Ovis aries: one gene and its partners. The protein of the gene in region 3 interacts with the protein of the main gene of each other region in a pairwise test. Links are inferred from orthologs where the notes say so. Each region holds a gene or a part of one and is shown on either strand. Other genes may lie near its edges.

Evidence for each region.
Region 1: the proteins of HOXA1 (region 3) and ADAMTSL4 interact in binary tests that used the Homo sapiens proteins (3 or more experiments, as listed by UniProt). The two-hybrid records come from large-scale screens. The link is inferred for Ovis aries from reciprocal best matches to the Homo sapiens genes HOXA1 and ADAMTSL4.
Region 2: the proteins of HOXA1 (region 3) and CHRD interact in binary tests that used the Homo sapiens proteins (3 or more experiments, as listed by UniProt). The link is inferred for Ovis aries from reciprocal best matches to the Homo sapiens genes HOXA1 and CHRD.
Region 4: the proteins of HOXA1 (region 3) and MGAT5B interact in a two-hybrid assay, tested with the Homo sapiens proteins (2 studies listed by BioGRID). The two-hybrid records come from large-scale screens. The link is inferred for Ovis aries from reciprocal best matches to the Homo sapiens genes HOXA1 and MGAT5B.
Region 5: the proteins of HOXA1 (region 3) and RGS20 interact in binary tests that used the Homo sapiens proteins (3 or more experiments, as listed by UniProt). The two-hybrid records come from large-scale screens. The link is inferred for Ovis aries from reciprocal best matches to the Homo sapiens genes HOXA1 and RGS20.
Region 6: the proteins of HOXA1 (region 3) and SLIT1 interact in binary tests that used the Homo sapiens proteins (3 or more experiments, as listed by UniProt). The link is inferred for Ovis aries from reciprocal best matches to the Homo sapiens genes HOXA1 and SLIT1.
Region 7: the proteins of HOXA1 (region 3) and CCN3 interact in binary tests that used the Homo sapiens proteins (3 or more experiments, as listed by UniProt). The link is inferred for Ovis aries from reciprocal best matches to the Homo sapiens genes HOXA1 and CCN3.

The regions. Positions count from the first base shown.
Region 1 is NC_056054.1:100,567,421-100,571,661, reverse strand, and holds the start of ADAMTSL4 (ADAMTS-like protein 4), read right to left. Parts: upstream 2,801-4,241; 5' UTR 2,616-2,800; intron 2,472-2,615; exon of another isoform or gene 2,389-2,471; intron 1,899-2,388; exon of another isoform or gene 1,784-1,898; intron 1,210-1,783; exon of another isoform or gene 976-1,209; intron 83-975; 5' UTR 1-82. UniProt on the Homo sapiens protein: Positive regulation of apoptosis. May facilitate FBN1 microfibril biogenesis.
Region 2 is NC_056054.1:203,596,902-203,600,905, forward strand, and holds the start of CHRD (chordin), read right to left. Parts: upstream 2,801-4,004; 5' UTR 2,792-2,800; coding exon 2,644-2,791; intron 2,436-2,643; coding exon 2,332-2,435; intron 1,845-2,331; coding exon 1,715-1,844; intron 1,592-1,714; coding exon 1,463-1,591; intron 1,371-1,462; coding exon 1,271-1,370; intron 1,149-1,270; coding exon 1,061-1,148; intron 704-1,060; coding exon 562-703; intron 446-561; coding exon 305-445; intron 223-304; coding exon 140-222; intron 64-139; coding exon 1-63. UniProt on the Homo sapiens protein: Dorsalizing factor. Key developmental protein that dorsalizes early vertebrate embryonic tissues by binding to ventralizing TGF-beta family bone morphogenetic proteins (BMPs) and sequestering them in latent complexes.
Region 3 is NC_056057.1:70,524,166-70,528,431, reverse strand, and holds the start of HOXA1 (homeobox protein Hox-A1), read right to left. Parts: upstream 2,801-4,266; 5' UTR 2,420-2,800; coding exon 1,774-2,419; intron 1,309-1,773; coding exon 953-1,308; 3' UTR 1-952. UniProt on the Homo sapiens protein: Sequence-specific transcription factor. Regulates multiple developmental processes including brainstem, inner and outer ear, abducens nerve and cardiovascular development and morphogenesis as well as cognition and behavior.
Region 4 is NC_056064.1:54,245,288-54,248,787, forward strand, and holds part of MGAT5B (alpha-1,6-mannosylglycoprotein 6-beta-N-acetylglucosaminyltransferase B), read right to left. Parts: intron 996-3,500; coding exon 921-995; intron 541-920; coding exon 284-540; intron 1-283. UniProt on the Homo sapiens protein: Glycosyltransferase that acts on alpha-linked mannose of N-glycans and O-mannosyl glycans.
Region 5 is NC_056062.1:34,909,352-34,912,851, forward strand, and holds part of RGS20 (regulator of G-protein signaling 20), read left to right. Parts: intron 1-2,723; coding exon 2,724-3,033; intron 3,034-3,500. UniProt on the Homo sapiens protein: Inhibits signal transduction by increasing the GTPase activity of G protein alpha subunits thereby driving them into their inactive GDP-bound form.
Region 6 is NC_056075.1:18,144,938-18,148,437, reverse strand, and holds part of SLIT1 (slit homolog 1 protein), read left to right. Parts: intron 1-1,661; coding exon 1,662-1,805; intron 1,806-2,080; coding exon 2,081-2,247; intron 2,248-3,500. UniProt on the Homo sapiens protein: Thought to act as molecular guidance cue in cellular migration, and function appears to be mediated by interaction with roundabout homolog receptors.
Region 7 is NC_056062.1:57,929,185-57,933,125, reverse strand, and holds the start of CCN3 (CCN family member 3), read left to right. Parts: upstream 1-1,141; 5' UTR 1,142-1,200; coding exon 1,201-1,311; intron 1,312-1,438; coding exon 1,439-1,664; intron 1,665-2,951; coding exon 2,952-3,206; intron 3,207-3,941. UniProt on the Homo sapiens protein: Immediate-early protein playing a role in various cellular processes including proliferation, adhesion, migration, differentiation and survival. Acts by binding to integrins or membrane receptors such as NOTCH1.

The DNA of each region.
Region 1 (4,241 bases), on a different chromosome or scaffold from region 3:
GGGGATTGGGAGGGATGACTTCTCAGAAGGACAACTCAGAGTGAGAATGGAGGGGTGAAGATTGGTCCATCCCTTAATGATCCTAAAGGTGAGAGGGAAAAGGAGCACTGCCTTTGTCCATCTACCCAAGCTGAAGGGGTGGAGGTCTGCCCTCAGCCTCCCAGCTCAGGCGCAGTCCCCTCCTTCAGCTTCAGGAACTTCTCAGCTCCTGTGTCCTAAACAGCGACTGTCTCTAGGCCAGCTCAGACACATGCATCTTTCTTAAGAGGGTTGAGGAGGGAGGTTCAGTGAGGACTTTTCAGACATCCTCTCTGAGCTGCTGACTGGAAGCCCCCTGGGCTTTCCATTCCCACCTGCTTCTCAGCCTTTTCTTGCCTTCTTACCTAATAAGCTCCTTCTGGAACACTTGACACAACTGTGCCTATCTCAAACTTTGCAGCCAAGGGATAAACTAAATGGGCTGATGGTTTATCTCTAGAGAAGCAGGTGATTTTCCCCAGTGATATTTAACTTCCCTCTAGGGGCCAGCCTCTGGCATTGGATCAATGAGGCCTTCCTTCAGGCAAGACTCTGATGGCTGGGGGAAGCTGGGGAGGGGAGATACAGCTAGAGAGGCTATTGGTCCCCAGTCACTCATGGGTCTATCTTCTGAAGAGCCAGGAAGTCCATCCTGCAGTCTCAGCTTGATCACTGGAGAAGTGGAGCTTGGAACCCTCCCCTGGTCTAAGCCTGGCTCTCCCATGGCTCCCCCTGGCCCTCCAGTCCCTTCACAATGAACCCTTCCCACCCCCACTCTTCATGCTGCTCTGAGCTCTGCTTTCCAGGAAAAAAAAAAAAATGTTTCTGTTGGATCTGAAAGGCACCCGGGAGAGGAATCCAAGGAGCTAATGCTGAGGTGGGCCAGCTCAGGGGCAGGAAAATGACAGAGGGAAGGGCAGGAATGTGCTTGGAGGTAGCAAATCCATTCCCCCTCACCTCCCTGAGACCCCAGCGCTTGGGATGTTGAGAAGGATCACAGTGGCGGGGCCTGTGCCCGAACGGTCTCCTCAGCTACTTGGGGTTGTGAAGGGGGTTGCTGATGGCTGCTCCTTCCCTTGGCTGGGCTGACCACTGAGGTCAGCAACTCCGCCCTGATGAGGAGGCGGGTAGGGGCTCCAGAGAAGGGCCAACATTCCACCCAAACCTTCAGCTTTCAGCCTGACTCCCTTCCTGGTGGTTGAAGAGAAGGAGATGGGAGGCTGGTCACTGCCACTTCTTGCTGCTGGGTCCCCTCTCCACTTCCTCTGCCTCTGCTTCTCTCTGCTACCCCAGGCCTGTGTCTAGCTGTCTCTCTCTATGGGTCTACCCAGTACACATAATCCTGTCCTGAGCTGGGTTTGGCTTTGGCAGCTCCCTGGAGAAGTGAGGGGTGGGGGGTGGGGTGACGTGAGCTCCTGGGGCCAGGGCCAGGCCTGGCTCCCTCTCTGGAAAAGTCCTACCCCACCCCCCGCATAGCTGGGCAGGGGGCCGACACATGCACACACAGGCACACACAAACGCTGCAGAAACAGATACACATTTGTGGTTTTCAGTCTTTTCATGTTTTCCGTTTCTCATCTGGTGAGCCTCACTGTCCAGAGTGAAGAAAGGAGAGGTCAGACAGAACTGGCCATTCTTGGGCCCGGCTGACACTGGTCTAGACAAACCTGGGCTCCTCCCTGCCACAACTCCACACTGGCCAGTGGAGATCAAGGAGGAGTGACCTGGGCAGAACTAACCGCTTCACTAACCCCAAGAGACCTACCTCTGGGGAACAGTGGCACTGAGGGGCAGGGGGTGGGTCCAGGGCTCCAGGGCTGGCTGCAGAGTCCTTGTCTTGGGCGAGAACTCCTTGGTCCTCCTTGTGCCACTCCTGGGTCCTGGAGGCCCACCCAACAGGTGTCCTGCCTTTCTAGTCGTCAGGCTGAGCTGGATTCGGGGCACCCACTTGTAACCCTCCCAGCGTCTGTGCCCCCCAACCCAGGACGGAAGCGGATGACAGGGTTGGGGGGATGGGGGAGGAACGCATCATCCAGAAATACCGTTCCAGAGGGGAAGGGCAGGAGGTGCCCGGCGCGTGCCGGGAGCTCCTGGGTGTGTTTTCCAGTTTTATTCTGTGTAGGAATTTTGGCTGATTCTTCGTCCGAGTGATGGGGCCAGCGTTCCAAGAGATCAGAGCCCCCTCCCCAGGAATTGGACCCCAGGGACTGGAAGATCTTCCGAGGCTATAAGAACTGGGGCCGGGGTCGTGGCTGGGGCGCGACCGCGGGGCTCGGAGAACCCGGACGGCGCGGCGGCGTGGGGCGGATGGTCTAACCAGACGGGGGAGAGAGGGCGACCGGGGCCAGGGGTCCCAGGGAAGATCTGTACCTGCTCTGCGCGGCCCCGGCGGCCAGCTAACCCCTCTGCGCCCGGGCGCTCCCTCCAGGCAGCCTCGCTCCGCGGCAGCCACTGCGGCCCCTGGGCCGGGCTACGGCCGCCTCCGGCCGCGGCTCCGCCCCCGCCCCGCCCCGCCCCGCCCCGCCAGCCCGCCCGCCACGCGCCCGGCGGCAGCCCCCCGGCGGCCCCCGAATCCCCAGCCCGCCAGGGCCACCCACCCTGGGCTGCGGGCCTTGGCCGCTCCCGCCCGGCACCTGCCGACCGCTCCAGGGGGCGAGGCCGAGGAGGTCCCAGCCGGGTTCCGAGGGAGCCATCGCGCCAGGGCTGTCCCTCGACCCGGCTGGGGCTCGGGTCTCCGGGACCGCGGTCTCCCGACCGGCTCTGAGTGGGCGGTGCGAGCGCTGCGCCAGCCCGGGCGGAGCGGCCGCGAGGGGCGCCAAGGGGTTGGTGGCGCCGGTACCCGAGCGGCGTGGGCGAGCCCCGCGCCCCACATTGGGGCGTTGCTGGGCTGGGAGATGGTCAAGCCTGACCTCGATTCCACGTTGGTCAGGGCCCTCTCCATCACGCAGCCTCCCGTGCAAGCCCAGTTATCCCTGCTTCTCCTAAATTGGACTGTGAACCATGTGGTTCTGACTGCTCAGGGACCCTCTAAGCCTCGGTTTCTTCATCCATAAATGTTACCTACGGGGCGTAGCGCAAGGAATGCGCTGATTTAGGAATCAGAGGATCTGGATTTGAATCTCCCTCTGTGATCTTGGATGAATGCTTCAACCTTTCTGTGCTGCAGTTTCCTCATCTGTAAAATGGGGTTAACCTGACATACACGAATAGGCTTGGAGATATGTCTGCCTAGTTACTTAGATCAGGAAGAATACATCCCAAACTCGGAACTGGGGGCAGCAGCTGGGGAGGGGTTGGGAGAGGAAAATAAAAATATAAGCTTTCACTTTTTTACTCTGTATGCTTATATGTTTTTGAATGTTTAACCACAGGCATTATCTGTTTTTTATGGTAAAGAAATAAATAATACACGTAAAATGACAGAGTAGATAAAGTCATTATTTTTCTTGTCACCACTATTTTAAAAGTTTTATTTGCCATTTTTTCATGAACTACAGTCATGTACTGTTGGGTCTACTCTCAAGCATTTGAAAGGTTTTATTTATTTATTTTTTTCCAGTGACTTGTCAATATTTTAAAACCAGGATATTCAGTAGCAGGGTATCAGGTGTTCCCACCTAATACTTATTGAGCACTTTCTGCACTTGGTGTGGAGGGCACAGTTAGAACAGCCTCTGGCCTTAAGGAGTTGGGTCTAGTTGGAGACAGACTTGGGAGGTAAGTACTGGACTCAACAGAAGCAAATGTTGTCTCAAGAGATGAGGGAAGTGAAAACATAAAATGCTTTTAAGTATAAGTATTATATCCTTATTTGAAGTTCAATATCTATATTTTATTATAATTTATAAGTTATATAATTTATATTATAAAATTATAATTTTATTATGATTTATTATTATTTCAATAAACCCCTAAGTTTTCTCAAGACAAGGACCATTTAGGCCACTTTGTGTCATCTCTGTTTTTTCATCTTTTGTATTTCTGTTTTGGTTTTTGTATTTGTAGAGTTAATAGAAATATTTGGAATGAAACAGAACAAACAGATGAGTCCCAGGTGCCCAGGCCTGCTTTCTGACTTTTTTTTTTTTGCTTTCTGACTTTAAACTCAGGCTCACTGGGTGGTGGGTAAACTGGCAGGGAATCCCTGAGACTCCTGTTATTTTGTGGGGTGCAGGACAAGATTGCTAAAGCATTTATTTTTAAGTTTTTATTTCTCAAGAATC
Region 2 (4,004 bases), on a different chromosome or scaffold from region 3:
CAGCACCAGCCAGTCCATCTCCTGGGCTGTCAGGTTGGGCAGCACTTCAGCAAAGCCCGGTTCCTGGGGGCAGAGGAGGGTGCGGTGGGCACAGCAAGAGGCTAGAGCAGGCGGCAGTTAGAGCCAGACCCTCACTCACCTGGGCTGAGGCATTGGCTTGGAGCTCTCGAAGTAGCTTCCCCTGGTGTAGAATCCGGAGCCACAGGGGAACCTGGGCTGGTCCTGCAATAGCCACACACATGGAACCTCTGAAAGATGGGTGCTCTCCCTACCCTCTTCACGTGTCTGCCCCCATCCCGCTTACCCCCACTCCTGGACTCCAGGAGCCCACGGAAGAGCAGCAGAAAGTGCAAGGAGTCCTCTGTGTCACTGAGAGTGAGTAGGGCGATGCCCCCTATGCCTGGCTGTGGGGGCCCTTCCAGGGTCAGGATGGCACTGAAAGTCTCTGGGGAAAAAAGGACCACGAGAGCCCATCAGAAAGTGCCCCCCTCAGCCCACTCCATTTCTGGGGGGCCAAGAAGACTCTGAACTTCACGTCCAGGAGAGATTGGCTCCCCTCACCTGCAGCCAGGGCCCGGTGCCGAATGAGAGGTCCCCAGACCTCCCCTGAAGGGTGAGTGGGTGTCACAAGTGCCACATACAGCTGTTCTGCCCTAAGGAGTCGCAGGGACAACCGAGGCACTGCCCGCCACACCCCGCAGACCTGGAGCAGAGAGACAAGAAGGCCCTCTCAGTATACAGGACATGCCTGCTGAGAGGCCCATGTCTGGTGAGAAAGGAATACGGGAAGCTGTCCCCAGGCTCTCCTAGGATGTGTAAGAAAGGGCCCTGGAACCAGATGCCAGGGTTCAAATCCCAGATCCTCCACCAACTAGTTGTATGACCTTGAACAAATCACATTCTGCTACTGAGCCTCAGTTCCCTCATCTGTAAAATGGGCATCATAATGTCAGTGCCTCTCTCCCACTGGGCTGTTGTGAGGACCCGAGGAGGCAATGTAGAGCATGCTCTCAGCATAGTGCCCAGATGGGATAAGCACTCATAAATGGCATCATCTCACCAGGCCATCTTGGGTGGGCGCTGCAGGGTGTTCAAACAGGATGCTGCCAGTGGAGTCAGAGAAGCGGATTCGGGTAGGGCGGTCCAGCCTGGTAATGAGCATCCCTTGAGCACCGGCTCTGAGCCTGGGCCAGAAGCGCTGCTGCAGCCTCTCCAAATTCTCCCTCCCTGGCCCCGGGCTGACCCCTCCTCCCTCCTTCCTCTTTCTCACCGCCGGTAGGAGATGGAGAACCGCAGACTGGAGCGCTGCAGCGACACTCGAGCCCGCGCCACCGCTTGCGACCTTGGCCCTGTCAGCAGCGCCACGAAGTCTGCGAGGGGAGGAAGATGTCCCTAGTTCCGTCACCCGCTGCTGCGGCCCGGCGCCTGTCACAACCCCAGTTCCTACCCGGCCTCTGCCTACCCGTGTGGCCGTCTCCACGCCCCCGATCCTCAGCTCCTGGCTCCCCACGGTCGCTGTAGCTTCGGTGCTCTGGGTCGCGTGGATACTCGAAGGCCAGGCCCGTCGGCTGCTTTTCCGAACTGCTGTGCTCTGCACCGAGGGTGGGGGACACGGGTTTCGGGTGGGCAAGGAGAGGGCCAGTTGACCGTTCCATTCCGCCCAGCCACGCATCTCGGCCCTGCCGCCCTCCCCTCTCCGCGGAGCCGGCCTTACCCTGGGGGCAAGTCTGGCAGCAGTGTCCAGGCAGCTGGCGCGGCTGCCCACACGCCAGGGTTGGGCACTCGGGCTTGATGTTCTTGCAGCTGACCCTGCCTGCGCCCCTTGCGCGGCGACCCCACTGAGGCTGCTCACAGAGAAGACGGAAAGCCGAGTGAGGGCAAGACATCAATTGTTGAGAATCAAAGGCAAGCCGAGAAGGCATCGGACAAGGTCAAGGTCGGCCCACGGAGTCAAGAGTGCTTTGCTACCTACAAGCTGCGTGACTCTAGACAAGTTACTTAACCTCTCTGGGCTGCGCGGTCCCCGTCTGAAAAACGGGAGCAATGATACTCTCTGTCTAACGCGGTTGTACTAGGAGTTAAGTGAGAGATGAAATGGAGTTGGCTAAGAGCCTGACACAGTGGACGATCAATAATAGGCAACACCTGAGACTTGAAGGGGGCGCTTCCTCTCCTCTATCCTTCCTCGTGCCTCCTCCGCCAAAAAAATTATCCCAAATATCTGCAGACTGGCTTCTTTCTCTTCAGCAGCTCCGGGTCCATCCGACGTCCCAAGACCTCAGCGCTCCCCGACCCACAGGGCCCCCGGCCACAGCCATTGGGTCCACTCACCGCCTCGCAGGCGCACAGCACGCAGCGCATCACCCCGAAGGGCTCCCCCAGGTCCGGGTGCCACGTCTCGTCCAAGGCATAGACCTTCCCGCCGAAGGAGCAGCCTGCGGGGACGGGCTTGGCTGGCGGCCGCTGTCCCGCTCCTGCCGTGTGCCCGCCCCGGGGCGCTGCGGGCCGGGCCCCGGGTCCCTGGGCACCCCTCCGGGCCGCCCGCCGCGCCGAGCCACCTGCGCCCTGCGCCCCCTCCGGGCGGGCGCAGACTTGCCCCGAGCCGCACTCCCCGCCCGCGCCTCCCCCGGGGCGCCCTCCTACCTGCTGCTCCCCGAACGGGCAGCGGCTCCTTCTCGGGCCGGATAGGCAGCGCGGGGTGCTCGGGGCCGGCGCCGCGGGCCGGCCGGGAGCCGAGCAGCAGCAGCCCGAGGAGCAGCAGCGGGGCCGGCGGGGCCGGGAGGCTCGGCATGACGCGAACGGGACAGCTGGGGAGGCGGGAGGGAGGAGGGAGCGACAGAGGGAGGAGGGAGACGCGAGGAGGGCCGGGCCGGGGGCGGTGCGGCGGGAGGGGGCCGGGGCCAGGGCCCGAGCGGTGCGGCGAGGGGCTCGTCGGGCGGCCGCGGAGTCGGCGCCGGGCCGGGCGGGGCGGGAGGAGCGGCCGGGAGGAGCGCGGGCGGGCGGGCGCTGACCCGGGCCGTACGCGGCTCTAGTGCCCCAGGCGCCGGCTCTGGCCCGTTTTATGCCCCGCGCCCGGCGCCCCGGCCGGGGGCCTCCTCCTCAGCAAACGGGGCGGCGGCGGCGGCTCGGCGAGGGGCCGGGCTGAGCCCGGGGGGTCCGGCCCAGCAGCAGCGGCCCGGATCGCGAGTGGGGGAGGGGAGGGAGGGGCTGGAACCGGGCAGGGGAGGAGGGAGGGGCTGTAGGGGAAGGGGGAGCGGAGGGGATAGGGGGAGGGGAGGGACCAGGGGGCGCAAAGCGGGGAGGAGAGGCGGATCTGGAGCCCCCACCACCACCCACCCGCTGCCGGCGTCCACGGGGCAACTGGACCAGGAGGTGCATGTCCGGCCCGGGACGGGAGCCCCAGGCCACGGAGAGGCAGAGACGGCCTGAGGCCTGGGCCGGCCACTGCGCTAGGACTGAGTTCCTGCCGGAAGGATGAAGAATTGTCTTTAAGGATGACAACGGGCAGGACGGGCCCATCAACTCATCTTCGCCTGTCTCTGGGCCCACAGCACCACTCAATCCCCACACCACTCTCATTGCCCAGCCTGTGTCCCTACATCCCCTCTGAGATCTCTCCTCTTTCCTCTGTCCCTGGGATAGGAACTTAGCCAGAAACAGACGGTATCCCCTTTCTGTCTGCTGACAGCATTTCTCTCCCTACTATTACCTGTGCTCAGGCCCATCCAACCATCCTCCTCCCCAGCCTGACACACTTCCCCACCCTCTTCCTTCACCTGCAGGACCCTCTGCCTCTCCACCCTACCCACAACCTCTTTTGTCTTACTTTCCCGGTCGTGACAGCCTCCCTGCCACCTCCCACCCCCACATTCCCACCATCCTCCCAACCATCCCAGCACCCTCCTTCTTAATCTTGGGAGGCATCTGGTCTGGCTGAACTGGAGAATTCCGGGATCTAGGCCATACTCCTTAGCAGAGAGCCCCATCCTTGGGAGGAGGAGCAG
Region 3 (4,266 bases):
ATTCATTGTGCCATCCATCACATTAACAACTGAGCTGAAAATACATCATATCCAGCTAAGATAACTGTGGAAGGAAGAAGCTGGTTTGAATAATACTTTTAGGTCCCAGATAACCCAGCACAAATTTTAAATAGAGTGTGGCCAGAGAAACAAGAAAGGGTTGGGGATGGGGAGAGATTTAGCCCAGGAAGCAAGGTTTCTGACCCCTGTATTCTGCAGGCCTTCTTAACTCACTGAAGGAACAAACTGAGACTACCTTCTAAGGCATCTGATTGATTTTAAGTGAGAACTTTTATTCTTTAACCTATAATCACAAAGTTGTACCAGCTTTGAGAGTTTGCCCATCCTGTTTTAATCTAAACATTAATCTAAACATTTCTAGAAAATCTGTATAAAGATAAATCTTTCAGGACAAAGTATTTACAACCAGCAAACTCACACACATGGAATTAAATTAAGGGATGAATTAATCGTGTAAACACGCTCATAGAGAATCTCTTCCTCATGAGCTCTTGGACTCTCCTCTCTCTCCAGCCTACTTTCAGGGCAAAGTAGGAGAGAACTGTAAATATACAGATAGATAAAAGATGAGAGGCCTCCCTCTGATATATTTCTGCTGGCAAAGGAGACTATTTTCCAAAGGGCATCTGAAAGGAGCAGTAGGTTCATTCGAAATCTCTTAAAAGTAGGGGTGTTAGGGGCCATCAGAAAATTGATGCTGGCGCTCAAGCTGCATTAGGGAGCTAACACCCCTTTCCCCCCACCCCCACATCAAGTCTCTCATCTAGAATTCTCTGGAAACACATTATCCCCAGCCAGGAGTTCCCCAGATAGGATCAGAAAGGAAGAGAGAGAGATTGTAAATGGAAAGAAGATAAGCTAAGAATGTGCTTTGGGTAAGAAGTCCCAGTGTGAGGAGTAGCCCTGGCTGCTGAGTGGGGCTGGGGCAGCCTCAGTGGGAGGTAGGTAGAGTGTCTGAGGTAGAAGAACCCGGGGAAGGAACGCAGGGCGAGGAGCTGGACTTCTCTGAGGATTCCTCAGCCTTCTCCTCGCTTCCCGTCGGAGTGGCTGGAGAGATGGGCAAGAGACCCTCCTTCTCTCGTTTCTTCTGCTTCATTCGGCGGTTCTGGAACCAGATCTTCACCTGGGTCTCATTGAGCTGCAGGGACGCGGCAATTTCCACCCTGCGGGCGCGTGTCAGGTACTTGTTAAAGTGAAACTCCTTCTCCAGCTCCGTGAGCTGCTTAGTGGTGAAGTTGGTGCGCACCGCATTGGGCTGACCCACGTAGCCATACTCTCCAATTTTCCCTGGGGGCAATGAGAGGAAAAGGTAAAAATGTTTATAATCATATCAGATTCCCTACACGCTTCAGAGCAACCTTCAGGTAAAAGGGAGAATCAAGACTTTCTCAACCTAATCCGGGCTTGGGAGGGTGAGTGATGAGGTGTAAGGTGTTGAACTGAAGTCAACCATTAGCATGGTCAGACCATGATTAATGGAGCCTGGAGATATTAACAGAATGCTCTCCACACACACACACACCTACCCACTTCCTAAACCTCTAAAATTCAGCCCCTTTGGAAACAACAGTCCCAGATGCTCCTCTGCCCCCAAAGCACCTGGGGAATCTCTCCACACCCTATAACAGAAGTGGGAGGCAAGAACTTTTCTTAAGAAGAAAAAAAAAAAAAAAGATTAATTTTTCATGGAAACTAAGCATACCAGCTCCTTCCAGAATCATAAAGGAGCATTCATGGAATGGCAAGACTGACCTGTTTTGGGAGGGTTTCTTTTGACTTTCATCCAGTCAAAGGTCTGTGCTGGAGAAGAGGTCTCTGACGCAGGGGAGCGACAGGCTTCTTGGTGGCTGGCGTGGAGAGGGGACAAGGAGTTATTATACGTGGCCAGGGCCAGGCTCTGGTGCTCTTGTCCATATGAGTGGTGAATGTACTGAGGCGAGCCCACCGCGCCCCCGGCATAACCCTGGTGGTGGTGCTGATGCTGGACCATGGGAGATGAGAGGTTTCCAGAGTAAACAGCGGGAGCGCACGAGGGGTACCCACCACTTACTTCTGCTTCCTGATTTAACGTGTAAGGGCTGTAAGGCGCGCCGAAGTTCTGCGCGCCGTAGCTTGGACCACAACTCGAGTGGGAGTAGGACACTCCCAGGTTCCCAGAAGTCTGATAGGTTGTCGGCTGGGGGTGGTGATGGTGGTGGTGGTGGTGGGGCGGGCTGATCTGCACCCCCCTGCCCACTAGGAAGCGGTCGTCGCTGCCACAGCTGTTGGCACTGACCGCGCACGACTGGAAAGTTGTAATTCCGTGGTCGGAGGGGTAGGCTCGCGCTGAGCAGGTCCCCGAGTCGCCACCGCTGAGGATGGGGTATTCCAGGAAGGAGCTCATTCTTGCATTGTCCATCTGTCACTGAGTGACCGGGTCCTGCGAAGTCCTGGGTGACCGTGCCAACTTTCTCACTTCCTCCATGGGGCCCAAGAAGAAAAATGATATGAATGTACAGTGCGCAAGAGGGGGGGCGGGAGGGCGGAGGGCGCTACGGGAGGGGCACGTGATTCTATCAGCCAATGGCGGAGCCTCCTGAGAAAGTTTGTTGGCTCCTGCAGTGATGGATCACCGTTTCAGTGGCATTTAAATCCCCGGCGCTCCCCAGTCTAGGTGACGCGCAGTCGCCCCCCCAGGCAGCCTGGGCGGCAGCAGCAGCTGCGACGGCCGCAGGGGCAGAAGCGGAGCGCTAAGGCGAAGGGGAGCAGAAGCTGCTTTCTGCGCGCGCCAACTCCAATCGCCCTCCCCCCTCCGGGAGGTGGGGGCTGGAAGGCATCCCCCGTCACCGCCCCCCTCCCCACCGCGCCCAGAAAGATTAATTGGCAAAAGGTGAGAAGCACGAAGGGCTCCGCGGTCTCTCGGGCTGGGAATCAGTGGGGAGGAGGAGCTCGCTGGGCGGCCACTAGCACACTGGCCGAGCCCGGAAAGCCAGGAACTGAAAGGGTCGCTTTCCCGGCTTCCGTCCCTCCTATGGTTCCTTGAGGAGGACCGAGAACGGTGGCGTAGGACATGGTTAGGCCACCAGGTCTCCAAAGTCGGGAGGAAAGTACGCAGAGGGCTGGTTCGGAGGAACCCAAGTGGGCGTGGAGGGAACGAGGGCAAGAAAGGAAACTTCCCTTCCTCAAGGAGAGTCCTGAAGCCTCCTTTCCTCCCGCCTCCCCCGCCGCCTCCCCCACCCCCCCGCCGCACACACACCTCCCCATCCTCCCCACCCTCTGGCTATTAGTGTGGCAACCGGGAGCTTCTGTAATTCGACGCCCGGGAGAGAGGGTGAGCCTTGGGAGCTAGGCTTGCTGGCCAAGGCTAGGGGTGGCCCGGCTCTTCGCCCTCCCTCTCTCCTCGCTCTCCGCCCCTTTCTCCTCCCCACTTAGCTTTGCTCCGGGAGCCCTACGGGGAGCAACTCCGCCGCTGGATTTTGAGGGCTAGGAGGAGGGGAGAGAGAGATGACGATAGCGGACGTGGCCAGCGTGGGGGCCGGGCCCTGCGCTGCAGGCCATCTGCCGGCTCCCTAGGAACAAGGAGCCTGCAGGCTCCCATCCGGGCCTCAAAGGGTGAGACCACAGCTCCGGCGAAGTACGATGAACTCCTCTTCCCCACCCCCACCCACCCCCGCAAGGTTTCTTGTTTTCTGGAGGGGGACGTTAGAAGTGGTAGAGTCTCTTTTATCTACACCCTCCCATTCAAGTAGGGGTGGGAGCTGGCAGGTGGGAGGGGCGGGGGACAGATGGCTGATGGTGGACAGGACATTCTCTTCTTCCCCAGCAACACCTCCTCCCTTTTGTAACTGACTGTGTAGTTCCTTGTGTAAACCTGCAAGTCTACCCCTAGAGAGACACGTGCAAATCTGAGCGTCATCCCAGGACAGCGTTCCTGTTCTCCATCACCTTCCTCTTACCCCGATGCCCACGGGGTCGTTAACTGCTCTTTACTATTAGGCCTTGTGTCAGCCTTTGGCTTGTAGAGAGAAAAGGCCAAACAGAAGCCAAGAATTGATGCATTCTTAGGTAAAAGAAGTCCAGACATCATACAAGAATTTTGCAGCCAATGCTGTACAGATTTGACTCTGACCATGTTCACCATATGGGGATCCAACGGATCAAATTTATCTGATTGTGTGTGACTTTGGGGTTCCCACTCCCCTCCAGCTTTCCCTTCCCGGTTAAAAAAAGGAAGTTTTGCTTGAGGCAGGCACATTTCAGAGGTGT
Region 4 (3,500 bases), on a different chromosome or scaffold from region 3:
AGGAGGGCAGGGCCACAGGCTGACGCATCAGGAGGAATCAGGCAGTTTCTGCGGCCTGGACCTAGAAGATGCCCAGACAGGCTGGGCAGGGGTCTGAGGCTTTGCCAAGGGTGTAGAGCTGCAATGTGGAAACCTGCCTGGAAGGTCCTTTCCAGATCCTTCCTCTCTGGGAAGCACTGAGTCCCCCTCACCCTTGCTGGCAGGCCAGGGGGCAAGGTGGTCAAGGGAGTGACAGGCTACAGGTGAGGTCAGCTGGGCCAGGTCAGGCAGGGGGCTCACTCACTTCTGGAAGGCGTCCTGGCTGTTGAGGAAGGGGAAGAACGAGGGCTCACAGATCAGCCCGTGGTCCAGGCAGGCGTCCGTGCAGGCCCTCCCCGTGGCAGCCAGCCAGGCCCGGAGAGAGTGCACTGGGGGCCAGGCCCCCGGGGCTAAGCTGGTGTTGTGGGCCCATTCGAGATGGGTGGCATTGGGAGCCAGGATGAAGGGGCTTTGCGGGGCTCGGGCCCCAGGTGGGGCAGGAGCCGGGTCTACACAAAAGTCCTGCCGGGAGGAAAGCAGAGTTAGGAGGAAAATTGGGGTGCCTCTCTCCCGCCGACTCAACCTACTCCCTACTTCCCCCTCACTTGCTACCAAACTTTTAAACAGCTTTATAATAAAATGAAAAATAAAAGTATTTGGATTTCCATGCTATGATATGGAGGCTGGGATGCTAGAGCTGGGGGTCCAGGAGAGGGGCGCTCCAGGCCTGGTCTCTGAGTAGTACTGTTGTCCCCCCAACAGTCCATCTCCACCCTTCACAGGGAAGAAAACAGGCTGGAGAAAGACTGGGGGTTTAAAGCACCCTGCACCCCAGGCAGAGGTGGGTCCTCAGACTCTGGAGCCATCCCACCCCAGAGACAGAGGGTGGGGGACCCACACACCTGGTGCTGGATGTAGGCATGGATTCGCTCCAGCATCCCCTCACATGTGTACTCGTAGGGCAGGTAGGGGTCCACCTGTGGGAGAGACAGGCAGACACATGGGTCAGGAGAAACCCTGGGGCTCCCCAGACCTGGCCGCTCAGCTCTGGGAGCAGAGATCTGGGGGCTCAGGCATCCTGCACCCAGTGAGCCGACCACTCCATCCACTCAAATGCCCTGCTCCTCAGTGCACCCCGCAGTGCCCCCAGGGGCTCAGGACAGCTCATCTCTCCTTGGCTCTCTTCCAGCTACACCAAGTTTTTCCTCTTTCCCTAAAGCTCACTGTTCCATCTCCATTTGGGCTGTGATGTCTGCTCTTTCTGAGCCAACCCCTGGATTCATCCTCTCCTTCCCCGGTGGCTCAGTGGTAAAGAATCCACTGGCAGGAGACATGAGTTCAATCCCTGGGTCAGGAAGTTCATCTGGAGGAGGAAATGACAACCTTCGCTAGTATTCTTTGCTTCCCTGGTGGCTCAGCTCAGCTGGTATAGAATCCGCCTGCAACGCAGGAGACCCTGGTTTGATTCTTGGGTCAAAAACTTCCCCTGGAGAAGGGATAGGCTACCCACTCCAGTATCCTTGGGCTTCCCTGGTGGCTCAGTAAAGAATCTGCCCACAATGCGGGAGACCTGGGTTCGATCCCTGGGTTGGGAAGGTGCCCTGAAGGAGGGCATGGCAACCCACTTCAGTCTTCTTGCCTGGAGAATCCCCATGGACAGAGGAGCCTGGTGGGCTACAGGCCACGGGGTCACCAAGAGTCAGACATGACAGTGACGAAGCACAGCATAGCTTAGATGTCACCTCCTCCAGGAAGCAGACCCAGAGTACCACCTCCTGTTTAACTCCTGTTAAAAGACCACTTTCCTTGGCCCCCACCCCAGGCTTCCCCAGTGTAGAACTGGCTCCTGTGTCATCATTTCTGATGTGTCCCTTGTCTGCCTCAGGTTAGGAGCCCCATGCACTCTGGGACCATGACTTGTTCACCATCGAATCCCTGATGCCTCACCCACTGCCCGGAACACAGTCCTCACTGGGGAAGTAGTCATAGGACGGAAAAGCATCCCAGCTCTGCCTGTGTCCTGCCCAAGATGTGGAAGGTTCACGCAAAGAAACCCAGAGCATCTCTCAGTCTGATGGAATGAGATCACATCTGTGAAGCTTCCTGCCCAGATCAGGCACCTGGGAGCTCCATGAACTAGGTGCCCCAAACGGAGGCCACACACCGTCCATCTAAATATCAAAGTTACAGAGCAGCACACACTGGGGCTGATGGGAGCAGATGGATTTGGCAGCTGGGGCCCGAGAAGTGAAGGGAACAGAGAGAGGAAGTGATGAGGCACCTGCCTCCCGGGAGTGGGGACCCCCACCTCTCCTCCACTCTTCTCGCCTGACCACCCCTGCCCTGTTTACACCAACCCCCCGGTGGCCCAGCACAAAGCCAGCTTGGAGGAAAGATCGGCCAGGTGGGCAGGAGGCAAGAGCAGGCTGACCTGGGAGATAGTCCATCTCAGACTCAGAGAAAGATCTGTTTTAGTCTTCAACACCCATGCCCCACTCCCCATGTGTGTGTGTGTGTAGGGGGGGCACCACACCCAGCCAGCCCACCTCCTGTTAATGCCATTTCCCAGCCAGCAGCGCCAGAAATCAGGTAGCTTCAGCCCTGGTAGTGAAATCCTGCAGGTCTGCTCGAGGCCACACTCCCCCCGCACCTGCCCTTCCTCATCATCAGAGGTGGAGTCAGAGCCCAATCCTGCCTCCAGGAGACCCCACCTCGAGGGGCTGCAGGCCCATCCTGAGCCCTCTGGCCAGGGGGACATGCCCGACATCAAGCTGAGGAGGGTCTTGGGAAGCGGCAGCCGCCACCAGGACCGAGTCTCAGGACAAGACCCCTCCCATCTGACCTTGCCCCAGTCCTCACTTCAACTGCACTGTGAGCTGGAGTCCTTAACCCAGGGGCAGTTCCGGGGTCCCAGAGAATTCCCCGGGTCCACACCCAGCCACATTCTTCACAGCCCATCGACCAGCACAGCTTTTCAGCCCTGAGCTCTGCACAGTCAGTCCCAGCCTGAGCTGCTGGCCGCCGAGGCCCCGTCGCCAGCTGCTGCCCTAGCAGTTCCCCAGTCGCCTCGGCTACAAGGCTTCAAGTCCTGGTTTTAAATAAACCCCCCGAAGAAGAGACTTCCCCTCCAAATGTCAGTGCCTGCTCTAGCAGCAGCCGCCGAGTTATCCCCCTCGTGGTTTGAAGCCCATCACGCGGTGATTCAAAGCCGCAGCCCCCCCCGAATGAGGGGACCTTTCAGAGCAGCCACGTCCCACCTGCCGCGAATCTCCCACCGGACGAGCCAGCCTGCCTGGAAATTACCCCCATTAGGTCTAATTACAGGTGTGCACAGCGATCTGTCTCACAGAATGGCAGGTGCTGGTCCTGCTGGAATTACCGGCCTGTGATAATGAGAACGGCGGGCAGGGAGAAAGCAGGCGTCCCTCCCCCCACCTACCTGCCCCTCCTCTCCCTCCCCTCACCTCGAGTGGCCTCACCCT
Region 5 (3,500 bases), on a different chromosome or scaffold from region 3:
AATACAGATTCCAAGATGATTCCATTTGGAACTGTTTCTTAAACTCTTGGACTGTCATACAGAACCTGGCCTAGAAGACCGGGCTTTTCGGCGTGATCCGCGCCGCCTGCGGCTGAAGGTCTCTCCTCGGATAACTTTTCTCGGATGGAATTTTGTGGCTGCTTTAATACTCCGTGCTCTGACCTTGCCAAAACGAGCAAAGGAAGTGGCTGGGTTTCAGGACCCGATGCCTCCAGCCTTCACATCCCCGCTAGTTGGAGAAGCCGGCGGTCCTTCGCAAGACAGGAGCCAGAACTGGGGGAGCGGACTGCTGCCCTAGGGAAAACACCACTCTAGAGAAGAGGAAGAGGTGAACTTCTCCAGAGGCCCAGAGGAGCCGGGCTTTTATATTCTGCCTGCACATGTCTGCGGTTTCCCTCACAAGCGTCTCTGTCTGGGCTCACAGGACCGCAGCGCAATGCCTAATGAAGCGTGCCGAGGAAGGGGCGTCCAGCAACTCCGGAAGAAGGGCTGGGGCGGGAGAAGAGTCAGGTTACAGGTTCCATGTTCTCGAAAAACCACTTGAAAATCTGATCTAGAGACTCAAATTCCGGGACCCGCGAAAGGCCTGTGGAGCGACCTTCGGGGCCCCGGCAGCCGCGAGCGCTCGGCAGAGGTGCGCCTGCGGCTCCGGTTCTGCGCTCTCCGCTCTGTTCCAGCGCTTGCCTGAAGCCGGTTGGGAAGGCCGCGGGGTGGGCTTGCCAATTCCGGGTCGCCGGGAACCAGGCCTGTTTTCTCTTGACTTGCCTAGCATAGTGGCATAGGACTGCGGACACGGGCACCGCTCTGGAGCTGCCGCGGCCGCTGGCCCACGGTCCCCGCAGGTGCGCCCGGGGCTAGCGGCATCCCGCCCAGATCCAGGGGTGTAGCCGCAGCCGAGCTCTCCTCCCACCCCCCGCCCAGGGGCTGGTCGCCTGCGTCCCTCCCCGAGAGACAGACCCTGGGCGCCGAGGCCGGCTCTGGGCTCTTCGGCATCTCTCACTTCCCCCCTCGAGTGAGCCTTTGGCGCGCATCCAGAAGACTCGGGGATTTCCGGGTCCAAGCCCTAAAATAAACGCTGCGGAGGTCCAGAAAGCGGGGGAGGGGAGAGTAGCGTCCGCACGCGGAGAATGAAAACACTATGAGAACGACCCCGTTCTCTAGGAAAAGGTAATGAGAGAAGCTCAACAGTGAACTTGCTCGGAAATGCAAACCCAGCTCCACTCTCGCCGGGCGCATACCAACAAGCGAAGGACGAATCAGCCGGAGAGCCCGGCAGCTTCCCAGAAAGGGCCTCATGAATGAGAATGGGTTGCTAGGTTTCCTCGCTCCCTCCTGACACCCGCTTCCCACCAGAGAAAAGGAAGAGGCTTGGCCCTGCCACTGCCGAGCGGGGACGCGCGGCCAAGCCCACGCGGCCGCTCCCGCCTTCAGGACCCTGGAGAGCGGTCGCCGCGCCCCGAGGACGCCCGCCACGCCCCCGGGTTGCCTGTATTCGCTGCTTCCCGCCTCCACCTTTATTTTTCTTGGCAACCACTAGCTCTTGCTTTTCACACACATTTAATTGTCTTTTCACTTTGCTTGCGGGGGCTGTTTGGATTGGCTGAGTTAGGTTCCGGTTTGTAACTTCACTAAATGTTAGTGGATCAAGAAGCTCTGAGAGCTCCGAAAACCTGAACAAGGAGGGTGACCTCAAAAAGCCAAAGTTCAATCCTTTTACTGCGTAAATGAATCGGATGAACTCAAAGAATAAGAATTTCCGAAGGTTAGCCGTCGCGTTGGTAGCAAGGTAGAGTCCTGAGGCCCTGAGTTCTAAATTAACGTTTACCTATACATAGCAAGAAAAAAGTTTATCTTTACCTTAGCCTCTTAGATCTCCCACGCAACAAGTGGAAGGTGAGAGGCCTGCCTCTCAGCTGGAGGCCTGCCTCCAGCATTGGCTGGAGGAATAGATGAACACAGGGTGTGTGGAAAGGGGGCTGTAGATTGTGCTAAGTTCTGGTCTCTCCTGACCCCAGTACCCAGCACAACCGAAATCAAATCGCCAGTGCATTTTCCTCCAGCCTGAAGGCCTTCAGTCTCCTGCCTGTAACCAGGCCTCCCCTGGACTCTTCTCACAGGCCCTGGTGACCTCATCCGTCTCTAGTAGAGCTCTGGACACTTTGGACGGTGGAACAAGACAGAGGGAAAGAGGCAGGATGAGAGGAGGAGGCAGAGTGAGAGTTGCAAAAGTGAAGTAGGAGATTTTCAACCATATTCGAAAGAGCCAAGAGAGGTGAACTCAGACACTGCTGTGCACTGCACCTCACAGGGAACAGGTCTCAGAATTCCCTGGGAATGTTAACATTCCCATTCTGATGCGGTGGGTCAGGATAGGGTCTGAGATTCTGGTTTTCCAACAAGCTCCTAAGTATTATCCAATCTTCGGGTCCAAGGACCACACCTTAAGTAGCAGGCAGTTAGAAGGGGTGGGAGGAGAAGGCGGTGAGGCGGAGAGGGAAGAGAGGGGAGGATTAGCAGCTGGGAGAAACTAAGCAGAGTCCTCTTCCTCTTGCTCTCACCGACTTCTCTTGCACCCCCAAAGTAACGCCTCAAAATGCCGCAAACTGGTACTCTGCACTTCCTCTTCGGTCTGCAGCAGGACCCCACAATGACCTTGTGTGGTTTTGTCTCTCTCCTCCCCCGCCTCTCGCCCTGCCCGCCGGCCCCGCACAGCTCCCAGGTTCGCCCGCTGCCCCGACGCTGCTCAGCCTCCTCTTCGGCACGCTCTCCGGCCTCGCGCGCTTCTTCGCTCTCCTCCTTCGGCGACCCCCTCCTGAGGCTCCCCTGCGGCACCGGAACTTCTCCGCCCTGATCCCGGCCCTGCCAGCCGCCGGGCTCTCGCCGGGGCAGGAGGAGCGGCCGGGCCGCCTCTCGCTCCTGCTCAGGGCAGCTCTGGCACTGCCTGGCCGACCCTCAGGGGGACGTCTGCCTCGGGAAGTGGACGCCAGCGCCGGGCAGAGCTCGCCCATACCCGTGAGTACTGTGGTCTCACAGTCCGCGACCTCGCCGGGACGCCAGCATCCCGGGTTCCTCCCTAACTCGGACTGACCCACTCCATGTGGAGCCAGCAAGGGGAGAGCGGGAGGGCAAGCGGGAAGGTCAGACCCGGCCGCGCACGTTCAAGGAAAAGACGCCGGCTGCCCGCCTCACACCCCTCCCCCCAAGAGACCCTGAGGCTACTTTTCCCTGACCTCTTCCTTCCAGAGTCTATGGAAGAGGGAGGGGGCCCCCGCCGTCTGCGAGGCGGCTTCTCAAACTCTCCGTCTTTACGCGTCGCTCTCCTCCCGCTACTCCAAGCCAACCGGGGCAAGTTTCCGCCCCCTCCTCGCGCTCCCACTCCCCAGCCCCCGGCTACTGCGGGCTTGGGTGGACAGGGAGGAAATGACGTGATGTTATTTTAGGGTCAGGTCGGCTTCCAGCTTCAGTTCAGCTCTCCGCGC
Region 6 (3,500 bases), on a different chromosome or scaffold from region 3:
GACACGACTGAACAACTGAACATGCATGCAGTATTCCTTGAGAGAGGGTGCCATGGGCATTCAACTATCACTTGAGTTCTTTCCAAGGAAGACTTGGAGTAGACAGAGGAGAGAGGAAGGGCTGGTGCTGGACAGAGCCTGCAGGAATGGTGCAGGCACAGGAAAAGGAGTGCCCATAACCCCTCCGCTGGTCACGGGTAATTATTCACACACACACACACGTGTACTTACATGCATACAGACATACACCAACATACATGCATGCAAACATACAGATATATCTTAATGAAATCCTTGAAAACATTTTATTTAGTAATCTTTTTTTTCCCTTAAACATAATGTGAGCATTGTTGTGATTTCTTTTGAATGATTATATATATTACATAGGGCTTCCCTGGTGGCTCAGACGGTAAAGACTCTGCCTGCAATGTGGGAGACCTGGGTTCGATCCCTGGGTCTGGAAGATCCCCTGGAGAAAGGCATGGCAATCCACTCCAGTTTTCTTTCCTGGAGAATCCCCATGGACAAAGGAGCTACATAATTATTAGAGATTAAGGCTAATTCTAATTTTATTACAAGCAATGCTGTGATTAATGTCTTCGTCATGAAATTCTATGCCCATTAGGAATTATTACCTTAGAGATAAACCCCTAAAGCTAGACCTGCTGGGTGAAAGCACAGAGGGCCGGGCTAGGGTTCCTGGTACATCTCACCAGGCACAGTTCCAGGAGGTCCCCAGTAGTTCTCCTGCCAGCTGTCATGAAGGTGCCCATCCTCGTACCCTCTTGCCAACCTGGGCCTTATTGTTATTATTATTATGTTTTTAATGATTTTATAATTTGGCAGGCAAAGATGCAATATCAGTTAAATGTCCTTGATTACTAGTAAGTTTGAACATTTTTCAATGAATGTTCATAAACTTTATTTCTGTCCATTCATGCTCATGATTCATTTATTTTATAGCAGAAGTTTGTGCCTTTCAATCTCCCTCACCTAGTACATCCACTTTAATTTAAACCATTCAACTTCTTTTGTGAATTGCCTATTTTATGTCAGGCTTGATTTTAGTTTTTGTGTGGGAAAGGGAATAGAGTCAGGTGTTCAAGGACAAACAGAGACTTTTGCAGCTATAAATGAGGAAGAAGGTTGTTCTGGAAGGAGAGCATAGCTGGGGAAAGATGTGGGGATGCCGGCCTGGGCAGCAAGCCTGGAGGACAGAGAGGTGGAGAGTGTGACCATCCCTGGGGAGGTGGGCAGGTGCTGGTCTGGGGCTGGGTAGTAAAGAGTTTAAACAGGATTCTGTGCACAGTTTAGAGGCTGCTGTGGGCTTTAGGCTGGAGAGCGACATGGCCGGGTTTAAGTTTCAGGCAAGTCTCAGGTGTTGACCGTGGTGCGTGGCCTGGAGGTTGGGGAGGCTGTGGGCACCCGGGGATGAAGGTGATGGTCCTCAGCATAGGGGGCCTGTGTGGGCAGGGTGGAGAGGCAGGCATCTCAGAGGCAGGCAGGCTGGGAGAGGAGCGCTGGTGTGGCGCCGGGCTCTCCTCTCTGTGGCTCAGCGTCCCCGGAAGGGAACTTGTGAATTGGCCGCTGGTGGCCCAAGCACAGGGCAGGCGGATGGCCGTGCGGCACAGCGCCGGCTCCCGCACCTCTCCCGGCCCTAGGATGCTAAGGAACAACCGCATCAGCTGCATCCACAACGACAGCTTCACGGGCCTGCGCAACGTGCGCCTCCTCTCGCTCTACGACAACCAGATCGCCACCATCTCCCCGGGAGCCTTCGACACGCTCCAGGCCCTCTCCACGCTGTAAGTGCGGCTCGGAGGGCGCAGGGCCGGCGCGGGCCGGGCTGAACCCTGGAGCCCCGGCCACTCGTCCTGTCTGCAGGGCATGGATGGTCTTCTGCGGTTACTGTGAAGGACTCAGGCGTTTGGGTCTTTACGCGTTAACGTGCCACCTCCTAGTCGCTGCTGGTGGTCCTGGGTGACCGTGTGGCCAGCAAGTGGCAGGCAGGAGCCGGCTTTGCTGGGACAGCTGAGTCTCGCGGGGCGGCTTTTGTGGTCACACCACTCGCCTCTTCCAGAAACCTTCTGGCCAACCCTTTCAACTGCAACTGCCAGCTGGCGTGGCTGGGCGACTGGCTGCGCAAGAGGAAGATCGTGACGGGGAACCCGCGGTGCCAGAACCCAGACTTCTTGCGGCAGATTCCCCTGCAGGACGTGGCCTCCCCCGACTTCAGGTGTGAAGAAGGTAATGCGTGGGCACCCCCCGCCCCGGGTGGTGGGGGGATCGGGCCTGGTCGTGCCCCAGAGAGGAGGGGTCCCCTGGGGAGGGGAGGGGCGAGGAGCAGGACACCCACTCAGTCCTGCGCCTGCCTCAGCCTGGTGGGGTCTCCGGTGCGATTATAAGAACGATGGTGGGCTTGCTGTTTTTAAAAAATGGGGAAATACAGACAAAGGAAGGGCATAAATGTTACCTATTAGCTCGTCACTCAGAGAAAATCATAGTTAACATCTTAAGAGTAATGTCTTTAAGTAAGTTTAACCCAGAGACCTGCCTCCTAGCTGTTCCTGAGGGCTCCAGACGGTGGCTTCAGCTTGTGCAGCACCCACCCCGACTCTCTTAGGGGCCCCACCCTCCGTCCTTGGGTCACTTCCTGTGTCAGGATTGTCTTTTCCCTGAGTCCTCGATCTCTCTCCCGGGGGCATGTCCTTCTTTCCCTACACGCACAGAATCCAGCCTATCCCTCCATCCCCCGCCTCCCCCTCCAGAGCACCATATACAGAGGCAACTGTAGGAAGCAGATTTTTACCCAAAGTGACAGGGCAAGGTCTTGTCTTGGCCCAGCTGTCTGTGTTCAGGAGCCCCGGCTCCGGGGATTTCTCCGCCTGCCTTCAGCTTCAGCCTCCTGGCTTCTCCCCACCTTTCTCAGCACCTCCTATCCCCTTTCCAGTCTGCTTCCTGGGACCCTGGTGTCCTTATCGTCCGTCATACACTCAAGCAGAGGAAGGAAGGAACACAGAGGGTGCTCAGTACTGTTTATTCAATACATGAGTGAATCTGTGAAGGATGTTGGGATAGAAGGGGCTGAGATGCTGGGCCAGCCAGACCTGGGTACAGACTCCATGTTGCCTCTGATCAACCTCCTGACCTGAGCAAGCTATTTAACCTCTCCCAATCTCAGTAAGGTAGAAAGTCCTTCATTCCTTCATTCAACTGACCTGTCTGGAGGCTGATATGGGCCAGGCCCTGCTCTCAGTGCTGGGCCCCTTCAGTGACTAGAGAAGAAGAAAGGGACACAGGTCTCCGTCCCCACGATGCTCACATTCTAGGAGCAATGGTGGTCCCCGTTTACCGCATCATTAAAGAAATTACATTGGTACAGTGTCTGGCACACAGTAGGTGCTCAAGAAATGATGTGGCCACCATCCTCCTTCGCTGCTGTGCCCGGGTCCATCTTAGGTCTGAGGTGGAAGCGGTGAACCCAAGACCAATTCCAACCT
Region 7 (3,941 bases), on a different chromosome or scaffold from region 3:
TGCCAGGTGGAAGAAGGATTTGATGTGCTGGAATGCCAGCTCGGGAAAGGAGGTACCTTCCCAGTCCTTCCTTAATTTGCTGAGGTTTTGACAGGGCCTGAGCTCAAGCCATCTTAAACACCCTCAGAGGCTCTTACATTCTGACAGGTGCCCTTTCATGGGAGGCATCATACCACAGGTGTTTGAAGGTGTTTTTCTCTACAAGAAAGGACTTTTTTTATGTACCTCAGGCTCTCATATTTTCATTCCATTATGTTTTACTTGTATTTCTACCAAACCTGCAGATATGGGGATTTAAGAATCAGCAGGGCTTGAAATGATTAGAGTCAAAAGAACTCTACCTTGGGACTTCCATAGTGGTCCGGTGACTAACTCTCTGGGGCCGGGGCTTTGAACCCTGGTCCCCGGGAACTAGATCCCACATGCCACAATGTAAGATACCCCAAGCTGCACCTAAGATCTGTTACAGCCAAATAAATAAAAATTTAAAAAAACAACAAAAACTTTGCTTTTTGGCCAATAGCATCCCCCCATCCTAACTTTAAGACTTCTACTTTCTACCCCCAGCCCCCAACTACTTTCTCCCTTCTCTGTTTCCCTTCCTCCCTCCCCCACTCCCCAGCTCTCCACACTCAGAGCGAGCGTGCCCTAAACAGTGACAAACCTGCATGTGCTTCCTTTATGACTAAACTCCTGGGCCTCTCGCCAACCCCCCACAGATGGTCGCAAACATCAGACACCCTTTAGGGGAGCCCCACGTTTGCAACCCGGCTGGGAACGGCCAGGCGGAGAAGCGTGATGGGGAGTGGCGGTGTCTTAGTCCTGGGGGAAGGCGCAGCCGCTTCCAGGAGGAAACGGGCGTTTCCTTCCCACGCGCTCGGCGAGCTCTGGGTCCTGGCCCCGGTCCTCCACCCAGCCCCGCCCGGAGCTCTGGGAAAAGCCAGTCGCCACACACAGGCACACGCAGGCCCCAGGGCCGCGCCCAAAGGAGAGCGGCACCCACAGCCAATTGCTATGGCAACCCCGGGGTTCGTTCCATTCCCCACCCCGCCGGTCCCCCCGCCTCCTGCCTGAGCTGCAGCCAACCGGCTTGTGCGCGTCCCAGGAGCGCGCTATAAAACCTGCGCTGTGGCGCTGGCCCGGGGCGAGCCCGACCTGGAGCGGGGCGAGCAGAGCCAATCTCCGACCTGGAAAAGGCCTATGAGAGCGACAGGGGAAAGCCTGAACATGCAGGGTGCGCAGAGCCCGAGTCTCGGTCTGCCCAAGCAGTGCCTCTGCCTGGCTTTCCTGCTCCTCCGTCTCCTGGGACAGGTGAGTGGCGCACTCACCAGGTGCCTCTGGTTACTTTCTGAGCAAAGCCCCTGCTCGGTCTCTGGCTCGCTCGGCTTTCCAGCATCCCTGATGAGAAGTTTCTCCTTCTGGTGTTTCCCGCCCTCAGGTCGCTGCGGCTGAGCGTTGCCCCTCCTCGTGCCCAGCCGCGTGCCCCCCAGAGCCTCCGACCTGCGCCCCTGGGGTGAGAGCGGTGCTGGACGACTGCTCTTGCTGCCTCGTGTGCGCGCGGCAGCGCGGCGAGACTTGTTCGGTGCTGTTGCCGTGCGAGGAGAGCCGCGGCCTCTTCTGCGACCGCAGAGCGGACCCCAGCGCCCAGACTGGCATCTGCATGGGTAAACCTGCCCCCACCCCGCCACCTGATCTCCTGTCTCTCAATAGCGGAGCTGTCCCCTCTTTCCTCTCCTCTTCCCTTTGTTCCCAGAGGGTGGTGCGCAAATACTCGTAATGATGCCCTAGTTGATTTTTATGGAGCGCCTGTGCCAGGGATGGTCTGGGGTCGCGTGGGGTTTGGAGGAGAGCCAGAAGCTGGAAGGAAACCTGCCCTCCCGTGGAGGTGAGAAGCGTTGGTCACTTGCCTCCCTAGAGAAGAATCCAAGTAGACTGGGAGCAGAGCAGAGTTAAGGGCCAGTGAAGTCATTTCCTATCCACGTTTCCAGGGGATGCTTGGGGGGTGATGGAAACTTGGGCTTGCTCACAGGCTCAGAGTTCCCCCAACTGTGGCCATTCAGGTTTGTTTTCACACCTGTAATTGTCCCATTTGAGCCAAAGCAGCCCCTACTCTCCTGGGACCTATGGAACCCCTGTATGAGTTGTGAGTAAAATCAAGCTGGTGAAACTCAACCAGTCGGTTTCCCACCTGGTGTACCATTTAGCTGGAGGCTGTCCCCACCTCCCTGGATGAGGGGGCTTGGGATAGTCTTTTAGCTTCTTTTCTAAACTAGCGATGATTTATTGCGCTGGGATGCCAAAGAATCTGAAGCCCTTCCCAGTTTGCCCAGTTAACCTGTTTGGAGACTGAAGAGCTCTGTTTTTCTTTTAAATTCTGAGCTCCTGGAATAGGAGAATCTAAGGAGGTTCTTGCAAAACGACCTTTTCATTGGGAGCAAAAGCTGTGTGACCTTGGGAGTGTCACTTCACAGTCTGGCCCCTCTTCCTTCATCCGTAACATGAGTGGCAGGACTGGGTGGTCTTGAGTGTCTTTTCTTCTTCTGGGAAGCTCCATGAGGACATCTCTCTACTGGTGACAGATCAGCAACCAGATGCCTTCAACTAGAGAAAGAATGAATTGGGGTTTGGAACATGTGCTGTGCATCTTCTATAGCTTCTCCAGTGCATCCTGTTTTGTTTTGTTTTGTTTTGTTTTTCTCTCCCCTTCCCTCTCTGCTCTTCTTCCCCAAGACTCTTCACCACGCCATTAATAATCACTGTAGCAAGCCAAGCTCCTCTGTCCATGGGATTTCCCAGGCAATAGTACTGAGTGGGGTAGCCATTTCCTTCTCCAGGGGACCTTCCCGACCCAGGGATCGAACTCAGATCTCCTGCATTGCAGGCAGGTGTTTTACTGTCTGAGCCACCAGGGAAGCCCCTTCCCTCTCTGCTCTTCTTCCCCATGATTCTAGCGGTAGAAGGAGACAACTGTGTGTTCGATGGAGTCATCTACCAGAGTGGGGAGACCTTCCAGCCAAGTTGCAAATACCAGTGCGCCTGCCAAGATGGACAGGTTGGCTGTGTGCCCCGCTGTGAAGAGGACTTGCTACTGCCCCAGCCCGACTGCCCAGCTCCCAGAAAAGTTAAAGTGCCAGGGGAGTGCTGTGAAAAGTGGATCTGTGACACCAAAGAGACGGGGACATTAGGGGGCCTCCAGACCCTTCCAGGTGAGAAACTCAACATAGCTGAATTTAACAGTCCCAGCACGGGAGGACATGCAGGCAGGAAGGACGTGTGCTCTTTGGGATTTGCAGTGAGAAACCAGCTTCAGTTTCTGGCCATTCATTCTTGGAGTCCAGCTGGCCCATGGAGATTAGACATAGCACGTGTGGGAATCCCAGCCAAGTTATGGAAGTATGCACACAGCCTCTCCTGAAGAAGAGTCATGTTCAGTGGTTCTTTTGAGTCATAGGAGTGATTTTTGTAATCTTATTACATGACTACTATTTATATTTTAGTCTGTCTCACTTGACCCTTATTAACATTGCAAAGGTATGTTTTAGCAACTTTATGCAAAACACACAATTGATATAGCTTCTATATTTATGGCAAGAGTCAATTTATGTGAGTCACTCAGTCATGTCCAACTCTTTGCAGCCCCATGGACTATAGCTCTCCAGGCTCATGGGAGCGGTTAGCCATTCCCTTCCCAAGGGGATTTTCTCGACCCAGGAATTGAACCCAGGTTTCCCACATTGCAGGAAGATTTTTTTTACTGTATGAGCCAATGCGGAAGGCTATCAATTCAAGGGGAATGACTTTTAGGTCATTTGCAAAGGGCCTGGTGATAGCTCTTTCTTTTCTAGATTCTGTCAACTACCTATGCACTCTCAAGACTATCTCCCCTAAGGAATGCCATCCCTGGACAAGTGTCACAGAGAAATGCCACCTTTCTAGATGCT